Nothobranchius furzeri: one gene and its partner. The protein of the gene in region 2 interacts with the protein of the main gene of each other region in a pairwise test. Links are inferred from orthologs where the notes say so. Each region holds a gene or a part of one and is shown on either strand. Other genes may lie near its edges.

Region 1 (6,390 bases), on a different chromosome or scaffold from region 2:
GCACGACTTCAAACTCACTCTTATCTGGGATCATAAAGTTTTACATCCTGGTGGTTATCCTTAACAGTCAGAAATTGCGCTCAACATATTAGCGACACAGCTATGAGCTACAAGCCAAACTACGTCCACATAACTGATTTGTTTGGTCCCTTATTGTCAGCAATGTCATTTGTTTTGTCCTCTGTCCTTTTTATGTTTGTGGCACTCATTTTTTCTTGTTTACCCGCCATGTAACCTTTTACCTGCAGCAGACTAAAGCTACGCTAAAATTAGCCGCTATCAGAGTTTGTCAGGCTGCTAAGGAGCCTTGAAGCTCTTTTCTTTAAATCAAAGTTCTATCGACCCGTTCTCATAAGTCTATTGAGAAGTTATTTTGAAGAATATATTGTTATCGATTCATCACCCAGCCCTGTGCCGTTTCCAAAAAGAGCACCTGAGCATCTTTGACTGACAGGACTTGTGTCCTAAGTGAGGCAGCTCCAAGCTCCTGACAGGTTTACATCAAATGCTCTTCATCAGCTCAATCATTTGAAACGTGTTCAACTCCACCTTAAGCCCATGTCTGGTGGCACTCTGCTGCTGACGGGAAGGAACTTACCAGGCTGTCTGGACCAGAACCTGATTCTTCTCACATTCCAGGACTTGGAGGTACATAACGACAATCTGAAATCATATATTTTTTATTGAAACCAAAGCAGTGATGACTACAACCTGTGCAGTGGTACCAAAACTGATGTAAAAGAGAAGAGTGTCTTAAACTCACCTTGTGTGGATGCTTGACATGAACACAGAAGCCCAACTCTTTCAGGACCCGCCGTTCTGCTTTGATGACTTGGTTTTTGGTATTAATGTAGTTCTGATCAAGTATCAATGGACTTGGAGTCCTATTTTGCAAAAGAATCAAAATAAAATTGTTTTCCCATTTCATTTTAAATCTAAAAAATAGGAAAGTACCCTTCTGAATTCTTGCACTTTTCCCCGCTTCAACCAACTGAAAGCAACAAGTTACTGTTTTCATATCTGACAGTGTGCCGGCTGGGGTTGTGGACTCCTGTGGTTTCAGTGACAGCTTAGGGCTCTACAGATGAACTCTGACCTCATCCTTCACCCAGAACTTGTGCAGAAATATCACATGCTGCTCAAAGGCACATCAATACACCTGACCTCATAATAAAACTATACTTGTTTAGACAACACACACACACACAACTAGATCTATCACCAACGTATCACACCACCTGTACCAGGACGTTCAGAGCAGAAAATCTACTTGAAACTCAAAGAAAAAAATAATAAAAAAAATAAATAAAAAAGCCAATGATGCAAATTGATGCCAACATTGACCTGTCTGCCAATAAATAAATAAAAACAAACTACAAAAAAAATTATAAATAAAAAGAGTTTCACTGCATGTAGTTTTATCTGAATAAGTTTAGGAAATTAAATTCATGCCATCAACCTTTGCTTAAAAGATTAAAATTACATCCGTCTGCAATTTGATGCAGCAAAACTTTCCCTTAAGTATTAAGAGGCTTTTATTATAAACTAATGATAAAACTCCTAAAGTTTAAGTTTTGGTATCTCCAAGAAATTATGCCACAAACCACATCCCAAAAATGTCTTCCAACAATCCATATGCCAAATAGAAAAACCAAATATGCAACCAGAAACTACTTATAGGCGTGTATGTCATCCTTATCACACAAACGATGGTTTCTATTTATAACAAGATGTATAATAGAGCTACACTACATAGACTGGCCCTTAACTGGCAAGGACCCCAAACAAGCTTTAACAACAGCAAAGATATTTCTGTGAAGACCATGGTTTGTGGAAGATGAATGAAGGTTTGCTTTTGATGTACAAATCAAAATGCATGGTGAGAAGCAGTCAGAGAAAAAAAGCTACATTACCCCATGGTCCGCAGATATACGGACAGATACCCAAAGCTTAAGACTGAACCACAGGAGTCCTCAAGGTGCCCCACAGGCCAAGGACCTTCGGCCAACCTGTCATCCCCGATCCCAGTGCCCCGCGGTGGCCCAGACCACGGAGTCTCCCACAGGAGGGGATGGGGCGGGCCTGGGGGGACGACAGAGACCCCCTCGCATCATGGTTGTCATGCCGACTGCTTCATCTTACGTACCATTCCACATCACCCAGGCTTTGGTAAATGTAGCTGGTCGCTGTTAGTTGGTTGCAAGGGAAAAAAGAAGCAAGTTAATGCCAAGATCTAGAACAAGACCAACATTAAAGCATGAGGCACACAAAGTAGGTATGCCTCATCTTTGACAGACTTATGTTTAACACCTTTAAAAACTACCAATGAAGCTGGAACTGAAAAGTTTTTAAATGGTTTAGAATGCATGAATAAACAGAAGGGCACTTTCACAGCAGAAGCATATCAGCAACAATTCACAGAAAAATCCTGAAAAGTTTAATGCTTCAACTTACTTTTTGCTTCTGAGCTGCCTCAGGTGATGGAAAACGTTGATGACGTCTCGTATTCGTCGGGGTGCTTCTTCGATTTTTGAGGCCAAGTTGACGCACGCCATGGCAACGATCTGAAAAAAGACGACAAGACAAAATTTGAAGGAACAGTACGCCAACCTGTTGGTGGTATGTCCAAGTGTCAACCAAGACAAAGATTATTGCCATTTCTGCCACAAAATAAAAAACTGGCTTCATAGTAACTACAATTAAGCGTCTTCGGTGAGTGACACACTAAATGTAGTTATCGAACCAAAACTAACCGTAACGCATAGTTACGTGCTGCATTTATCTGATCAGTTTAGCTGACCTTTGAAAACTACTACCGACAGTTAAATGAGATGTGATGTTTAAACTTGTTTAGCGTGACCACTATTTTTAGCATAAACCGGCGTAATCTGTTAAGTTAACCATAGTAAATTTTAAAAAGTACGTATTTGTTAGGTTTATGGAAAAAATACCCCCCCCAATATATGGAAACTCGGAAACAATATGGCTGCCACGAACGTCACGAGAACGTTCTGTGCTTTGCTGTCATCACCGGCAACTGGGTAATGCCGAAACTTTTTAATGATCTTACCTCGAAACTGTGCTTTACGAAGGACTTGGAGTAGAAGAACCGATGGAAAAGAACCTGACCCGTCGCCAAAGCCACCTGTCAAAGACAAAAAGGTACAAAAATTCTATAAACCGGCCTATAACCTTACACAATATACCCGCCGCCATTTTGATTCCACCACGCCAACATCAGCAGACCGCCAAGGCCGCGACTTGCCAAAGCCACTTGTGGTTTGTCGTGAATAACAGCAAAATATCAAAAATATGTGTCTTAAATCTTCGAATACACGTACCTGAGGTAACCGGAGAAGAATACCCGCCGACTGGAGCAATTCGCAACCAAGAATACGGAGGTCGGTCTCGGTGTTAGCGTCGAGGCCGTCGAGCATAGATGGCGTCGGACAGAGCCTTTCCTCCGGTACCAGCGAGCTGTCTATTGTTAGGCACACTTCAGAGTAAAGTTTGTCCCCAATGAGAATACCATCGTTGTTAGTGGACGCGTTAGAAGAGACAGATAGAGGACCCGCGGCCATCTTTGACAGACAAAAAAAACAGCTAACAGCTAGAACTCGCGCAGCCTCGACAAAACGGCGGCTGGAGGGAGACAGCCGGGTGACAAAGGACGTGACGTCACTGCCTAGTGGCGGAGGACGTCAAGTGTGTATACATCCGCGGTGAAAAATAACCCCCATCTTAAAGCAGCCTTTCAGCATTTTCTAACAAATATTTGAGCTAATTTAAAACTTTTTGACAAATTTATTAGTCTAAAATTGTCATCATACAGTGTAAAGATGAATACAATATATGGAACTATTTATTACGTTTTTTCCATCTACAAAACTATAAAGGAAGTCAATCAAATATGTCTAGAACTATTGATCCAAAACTTGGACTTTAATGAAACAAAACTGGTTTAATTGGTTAGATTTTCATCGTTCACTTATCATATTTGGTGTTGACAAATATGTTTTTTAATAGAATAATTTCCTCATGAAATATTTTTTATTTACTTTACGCAGTATCTTTTTTTTTTTCAAAGTGCAACAGGAGGAACCGACTCACCACAAATGGTTTCTGTTACGTATTTTACGGGAAAGCACAAACTCCTCACCGCTGTCTCTGGAACATATCCATCCGCCGATTAAAAAAAGTATATATATATATATATATATGATTATATTAATTCGGTCAAACTACGCAGTTATTTTTAAGGTTAAAAAAGTATGTCCACGGCATTAAAATTGGTTATTACGGTTTTAAAAGCTGCTTAAATAGTCAAGTTACTGAATCGGATAATTTTTCATGAGTTTAATAATTTATCTGCAATTGGTTAAAAAAAGAATACACGAATAAAATTAAACACTTAATAAAGTTTCGTGTGAACAGTTTGTCCCGAGGAACAGAGAGGCACCTGGCTTGCAAGAACACAGTGTTCACCACCACTCAGCTTCTAATTTTTGATTAAAGTGTTGCAGTAGCCCAAAGTGAACAGCAGAGGTCAGCAGAGTATCACTGGTTCGTTGACCTACACTAAACACTGGGGTTCTTCAGGTTTCTCACTTTATTCTAAGGACTTGTGCAGCATGCATAATTTCTCCACCAATACTACTACGTTTGTATTACAATTAACCAGAAATTGTTAATTAAATGTAAAATTTTACTACTTTTTTGCGAATGTTCAGCCCAACTCTTGCACCTGATTACAAAGTGTGGTGAGTGTGCTTTAAAATGAAGGAATTACACAAGTGGAGGACCAAATTTTAGCAAATGCCTCATTGGGAATCTCCTTGTAGGAACTAAAACAATGTTTGTGTGAGATTGAATTCAATATCGATTTTTACTCAACAAAAAACTCTTACTTTACAGATTCACTGAGACACAGTAAACCTAGAGCTGGTTCTCTGGTATGTAGAGATCACATGATCCATAGACAGTTGGTAGATGGAGGAAATGAGGACTCAGTAGGAGCTCAATAGCATATTATTGTCTCCAGACATGCTCATATACTTGGTTATTTGTTCTATTCTAAACTTCTTGTGATCACCACTATCACAGACTGTCCAAAGCTCTAAATAGCAGGATGAGACATCATTCCCCCCCCCCCCCCCACACACACACACACACACAGATTTATTTGCATGATCTTGGTGACGCACTGCATAAAGTAGCAGGCTGAAGTGTCTCTTCTCTGTCATTAACCAACACCTCCACCTCGCACCTCCGACCAGCACTTACGCAGTTACCATGACAACCAGAATACTAAACATTCTTCCTCCTGTTGCCCTGGTGATGCTAATTATAGGGTGTGGGAGGGCTCGAGGGACAGCAGAATTCCAAAACGACCATAACGACGCAGGAGAGAGGCGTCGGGGATGCCCAGTGACGAACAAGGGCTTAGTTATAAACACACACACCACTCCCTGGAGTGTGTGTATTTACAAGCAACTAACACAGATTGCCCTGGGGACATGTATGTATGCCTGCCCCACAATGATAATCACTGTGGTGAGATCACAAACCTTTTTTGTGCGTGTGCATGGCATGCATATTTGACTTAAACGGTTGCGTGTGCAAGCATTTGTTGAGTGACAGAATTAGAATGTTTCAGATGGATCAAGGAGTCTTTTTATGTCAGCTTTTATGCACATGGGACGTAGAAAGAGCTGCAAAGAGTTGATTCTCTCTCACACATCAACTCCCTCACACTTTTCCAAAAGCACAAATGCAAACTTACCAGGAAGAACACCAAGTCGAGGGCTACAAAGCGAGCAAGAGCAAAGGAAAAAGAAAAGGCCCCAGAAAAGGGTTAAGGCGAGAGCTGACTGGATCTAAAATAAAGTGAAGCCACAGATAGCTAAGAGAGGGAATTGCTCTGCAGCAGCAAGGTCAGAGGGGATGGATGCCAAAAGAAGGCCAAAGAGATTAAAAGAATAATACAGAGAAGGATTCGTATGTGTGTGTGTGTGTGTGTGCGTGTGTGTGTGTGTGTGTGTGTGTGTGTGTGTGTGTGTGTGTGTGTGCCAGAGGTACAGAGCGTGTCTGACACAGAATAATGGAGGTGTGTGTGTTTGTGTTTTGAGGGCAACAGAGAGAGATAGAAGGTGTGTGTGGTTAGCAATCAGTCATACAACATAAAACAAAGAAAGCCTCTGTCTGGCAAAGATGGATGCTTTCTCTGCAAAAAGAAATTAAGAAAAGCAAAGATTAAAGTTACATTAAAGCAGAGTTATTTGTCTGAGGGCCCCATCTAGAGGTAGAAAAATGTATTACACCATTGGCCCGTCTCCCTACTTCCGTGATTACCAATACATACACACACACACACACACACACACACACACA
Region 2 (5,724 bases):
AGGCAGTACGTTTCTTTATTCTGAAAATCTCGGTAGCTTCTCTGCATTTCCGCGTCCGACTTCCCGTCTTTCCTTCCCCAAAAATGTCGAACTTGACCCGTTTCAGAGGCGTCGCGCGTAGAAAATAGAACCGGCGTGTAAAGGCCGCGACATGCTGCTCCTGAGACGCGGCCGACTCGCGCTGCTGACGGCTCCGGTGGAAAGAAGGGGTCAGCCAATAGAGATGGCAGATTTAAATTCAAATGCAGTGCAGAGTTTTTACCTGACAACGGCACAACACTGCCAGTTTTAGGCAGAAAATTAAAATTGTAACTAAAATGCACTAAAGTGCAAAACTAGTGACTACACGTGTCTGCAGCACGATTAGACACACATTTAAATAGTTTACCAGAAAAAAAGTTGATTTGGGGGTGACTTGCTCTTTAAGTCAAAGTTTTAAAATCAAGAAACTTTTCCAAAATGGAATAGCCAGAAGTCTTCCAGAGTCTCTGAAAGACAGACGGATCTCCACTTTCCACTCAACACTGTGCTCTTGTGCACGATGTTGAGCGCATCACAGACGCTCCCCCAGCTCCTCTTCAGTGCTGTTTGCACGCACTGGCAGCAGTGAGAGGCAGAGAAAGTGTGAGATAATGGGCGGATGGAGATCTTTTGTTGATTGTTACCTCTGCGAGGTTCTCTGTGCATAACGTGTCAAATATTCGTCATTAACAAACTAACTCACAGGCAAATAAATAAACAAATCGCCTCTTCTAAAAACAATCGTAACGGCTCAGCCCATTGCCGACGGGCTAACCCTTCTGTCTGGTTTGAAATACGTCCAAACTGCAGACATTATGTCTCATGAGGCGACATGCTAGTTCTGCATTAAGGCTGATTCATGCTTCTCCGTCTGCGTCAGTGCGGAGACACGCAACGCCATTATCCGTCCTTGCGTAGGGCCCCGGCAGGCACGCAAGTACGTACGGAGTTGAACCCACTTTTTTTAAACATCAGTCGAACGAGACGGAGAACTTGTGATTGGTCAGGGCACCGCTGTCGGCTACACCGCCGCCATTGCGCCTTCAAAAACATAAAAGAGAGCCGAGGATAACTAGCGGCAGACATGGAGAAGCTTGAAGAATACCTCGCGAAAAAAACTCTAAAATAAGAACGTTTCATCCTCCCGTGACTGGAGGAGTGAAAAAATATGCAACAAGCGTTTTATTTGTCGACGGAAATGACAGGAAACGTGGGTTTAGAGGTGGGGAGCGCATGAAGAGGTGGAGGAGAATGAGAGACAAATATGTCCGTGTTAAAACGTCTCTTACATACAAAAAAACACAGTATAAACACACTATCTTGGACCGATACATGACAGGATACCACAGAACAGCGCTACGCCCTCTGTTGTCCTGCCGGGGAATTGCTTTGCAACACTCCCCAGGAGACGGAGAAGTATGAGGGCAAAACGCTTCCGTCAATCCGTGTGTGTCTGTCCCTTGCGGAGCTGACGGAGAAGCATGAACCAGCCTTTAGCCTGCTGTCTAGGGATGAGTACCTTTGACATCTGAATGGATACAGTACCAATTCCTGGTACCTACGAATCAATACTTAACGGTATCAAATTTCAATACTTTTGAGTGTATAATAATTATTTAAATAGCGTTTTGATTAAATATATATTATTTTCCCAATATATAACCATATTTGATCAATATCATGATAAATAACAAACAACTGTTTGTATTTTATCATCATAGTGTTGTACAAAATTCTTCAATATGAAAACCTTTAACAACCGTTTCTAAATTATGCAAAAACAAATCCAGCTCCATGTACTCCTAATCCTCTCCTTTCCCCTCTGGACAAACTGTGATGGTGGGTCCTTGTAGTTTTATAAACTGCAAATGAAACCGAAGCAAACATCATTGCTGTGAACTAAATTTACTTCGTATCTTCATTCCTTTTGCCGTTCATTTTCAAAACGTTTATTTTTCCTACTAGGAAGTTGGAATTTCCGAGGAGAATGCGAACGCACCATTAGCTATGTAAACAAAAACTAAACTATCAAGCTAACGTTAACATAAAACAGTTTATTTAGCTGCTGGAGCAGATTAAGATGCCTCATACTCAGATCGTTGTCGCTGGTTTCATCATCACCCAATAGCCCACCTCATTTAGTGAAGTGAAGCCAAACTTTAGAGCGCCTTCGCTTTCTTCGAGTCGGAATTTTGGAGTTCCGAGGAGTAAGCAAACGCACCATTAGCTGAATGGAAACTAACACATCAAGCTAACGTCATCTTAATCATTTTATTTACCTACCGGAGCAGATTAAGATGATGATGCCTCACTTAGATCGTTGTTGCTGGTTTCATCATCACCCAGTTATCCACCCCAGTGGACACAAACTTCAGAATGCTTCCTCTCTGCCGTGCTGCTTTGTTTACACCCACAGTGACAAGATACGCTCTTGCGCCAGGCGAGCGGTACGAGTATCGAAACAAGGCACCGTTTCATATTATGTGAATCGGTACTCAGTCGGTACTTTGGAATTTGGTCGGTGCCTTAAAAAGTATTGAATTCGGTACCCATCCCTAATGGTGTCTGAAACTATCAAATCCAATCCTGTACAAGTCACATGACCGGGGCCCGATTTCCGATCACATGATTGAATAAGTACATTCCTTAGTTTAAACTAGCTGGAAACCATTTTTAAAAACATAATTCATACAAAATTTTAACTAAATGTTATTTTTTATTGTAAGAATAAATAAAACTAGACAGAATCTATCAGATCCCGATGGGAGCCCAGCAGCGCTGCAGCTGCTTGATGGTGTGCAGAAACCATACGTGACCTTTCATTGATCCTGTCACCATAATCAAATTGACAGTTCAGAGTGCCACAAATCAATCCATGAACAAACACAAAAATCACTGCAGCACGTACTTGTATCTGGTTGTAGACGTCATCTTCTCATTGTTCTCCAGGAATCTCTGGAAGGTCTCCTTGGATTCCTTGTATTTAATCCGGGCCTCCTCCTTTTCCTCCTTCTCTGTCTGGACTTTGTAGGCATTGAACGCTTGCTTCTTCTCACTCAGCTTAGGAAGAGCGCTGCAGATGAAAGCTGAATGTAAGGGTCGGAGTTGAAGCTTGTTACTGTAAATATTGGGAATCCTGGGAATACTGCACCTGTAGCGAGGATCATTGATTATCAGTTTCATGGCCTGCTCCCAGGAGGAGTTTGATGCCACGCCCTAAATCAACAAAAACATTCAGATCAGTTCAATAAAAATCTCAACTGGGGGGGAGAAAATGTGCAAAAAATGTCTCTGGTCCGAGGCAGCACAGTTAAAAAAAGACTAATAAAAGTAGGGATGCACCGATCAGGTTTTTTGCTGCCGATCACCGATACCGATATCAAAGAATGCTGATCACCGAGACCGATCACCGATACTGATCATGTGGATTGGCCAGAAATTTTCTACAACATTATAATGAGTGCTACAAACTACATAATCTGGGAATAAAGGAAATGTAACCTAATCTAAAATGGTCTGTATTAGGGTTGTCACGGTGTGAAAATTGAACCTCAAGGTTATTGTGACCAAATTTACCACGGTTTTCGGTATTATCGCGGTATTTTTTTTAAACGTGCTACATTTTCACACAATTAAATAAACCCTGTATGTCAGGAAATATTGTCCTCAGTTTGTGTCTAAATTTTGCCTAAATGTTGTTTATTTGTTTACATTTTTCCCATTAAGTCTTTAAAATACCAATATTTGCCCAAAACTTCTTATTTTTTGTCTGTTTGATGTCATCATTTTAAAAATATTAGATCGGATGACACTCAGTACTCAAGTAGCCTTCTAATCAGATACTTTTTTACCCTTACTTGAGTAATAAACCCTATATCAGGAAAATATTGTCCTCTGTTTGTGTCCTTCCAGTGAGCTTTGCAGATGTGGGAAAATGTCATCAGGCAGTAATCATTGTTAAATTCATAATTATTCTCGGAGAGTGACCAACTCTTATCTGCTCCTGGGAGCCCCGTAATGCATAGCGTCATTTCAACATGGAGGTGTCCGCGACACGGTTTATATGCAGGTAGCGGCGCTGCGGCTGCTTTATATAGCGACTCGTTGCATTCTCCCTCAACCCAAATCCTCAGATCACGCATTTTAGCTAAAACGCTAACGTTAACTTGCCTTGCGTTGACTGTAGAGTTGTGGGTGATGGTCACGCAGATGTGTCATGAGATTTGAAGCGTTGCTGCCTTTCACAGACTCTTTTTCAGCACATGCTGCAAACAGGATAGCCGTCTTCTATCAACTGTCCCTCGGCATTCTTCAAATATCCAAAAAATGCCCGTACTTCCCACTTTGTCTTCTTTGAGGGATAAAAATGTCCTGAGCGCTGCCGTCTACTCCTTTGGCCATTAATGCAGCTTTAGCTTCAAGAAAGTTTTGGCTGTAAACAACAAAGCGCGCATGTGCCGCTGGCAACTTCAGCAGATGATACGGTGGCTGGTAAGGGTCACCGCGCCTACACCGCAGCCACTGTAATCCACCGAGATAATACGGTTAAAAAAAAAAAAAAAAAAAAAAAAGACAGTTATTATTATTGTCAAAAATTATTTTTTACCGGGGTTTACCGCTACACCAGTTACCATGACAACCCTACCTGATCGGTCTGCTTTGATCTATTTTGAAAACTCCAATCAAAACCGATAGGGGCACTTTCAGCGGATTGGGATCAAATGCTGATCCATCGGTGCGTCCCTAAATAAAAGTTGTGTTAAAGTGTGCGTGGAGGGGCAATAATTCAAGACGGGCTTATATAAGCGCCCAGAACGTGACTCCTTCATCCATTAAGACCCGATTCCACTCTGCATCTCTCGTCTCCTCACTTGTCACAGCTACTCTAACTCACAGGAGCATGCCACTTTCTCTCACCGTCCTAATCCCAGCCAGCCCCTCCTGCCTGTGATCCAATAAAGCTAATCATAAAGACCGACTCATTAAGATCTTCAAGGAAGTGGCGAGCAATCTCAGAGGAGAGCTTTGTGCACAAAATTAAAAAGGGTCTAAATTTAACAACATGCGAGGTGGGTGGCGCTGGGCGGACCTGCGGCTGGAAGCACGGCACGTCTATGGCAGCAGGAGGTGAGCTTAACACACCTCCCAGGGGACCAAGAGAGATGAGGGGGTCAGGGATTAGAGCAAGATCCAGATGCAAAGGACGTGTTGATAAAACTCAGAGGAGAGCTGCAACAACACGAGGATCAGTCAAAATTGCACAAACTCTAAAGAAATATAGAAAACCTGAAGCACCCCTGCTGCAGGTGTGTGTGCATGCACCCATATCCACACGCCTGAGGGAATTTTCCACTCAAATGTGAAAACACTTAACAGAGATTTCCAACATTTTTATTGAGTCTGTGGTGTTTTTAAGACCTTTGAATTGGATTAATGATTATCATTTTTAGGGATTTTAAAGCTTGAATTATGGAAATTCTATCTTAAAGATCCTCAGAAACCCGGAACAGATAAGATGCATCAAATCATGTGTTTTATTCAGCATCTTTCTGCATTTCAGGACAGAGACGCCTCAGGAGGTAGAGGGTTGTCCAGTAATCGGAAGGTTGCAGGTTCAGTCCCAGCTCCTGCCAGAGAATGCTGCCGTTGTGTCCTTGGGCAAGACACTTAACACACCTTGCCTGCTGGCGGTGGTGGTCGGAG

Evidence for each region. The genes of interacting proteins can lie anywhere in the genome.
Region 1: the proteins of prpf40a (region 2) and ccnl1a interact in binary tests that used the Homo sapiens proteins (3 or more experiments, as listed by UniProt). The link is inferred for Nothobranchius furzeri from reciprocal best matches to the Homo sapiens genes PRPF40A and CCNL1.

The regions. Positions count from the first base shown.
Region 1 is NC_091753.1:29,846,339-29,852,728, reverse strand, and holds the start of ccnl1a (cyclin-L1a), read right to left. Parts: upstream 3,689-6,390; 5' UTR 3,582-3,688; coding exon 3,342-3,581; intron 3,146-3,341; coding exon 3,071-3,145; intron 2,565-3,070; coding exon 2,455-2,564; intron 885-2,454; coding exon 764-884; intron 664-763; coding exon 599-663; intron 1-598. UniProt on the Homo sapiens protein: Involved in pre-mRNA splicing. Functions in association with cyclin-dependent kinases (CDKs). Inhibited by the CDK-specific inhibitor CDKN1A/p21. May play a role in the regulation of RNA polymerase II (pol II).
Region 2 is NC_091754.1:18,341,486-18,347,209, forward strand, and holds part of prpf40a (pre-mRNA-processing factor 40 homolog A), read right to left. Parts: intron 3,238-5,724; coding exon 3,173-3,237; intron 3,095-3,172; coding exon 2,930-3,094; intron 1-2,929.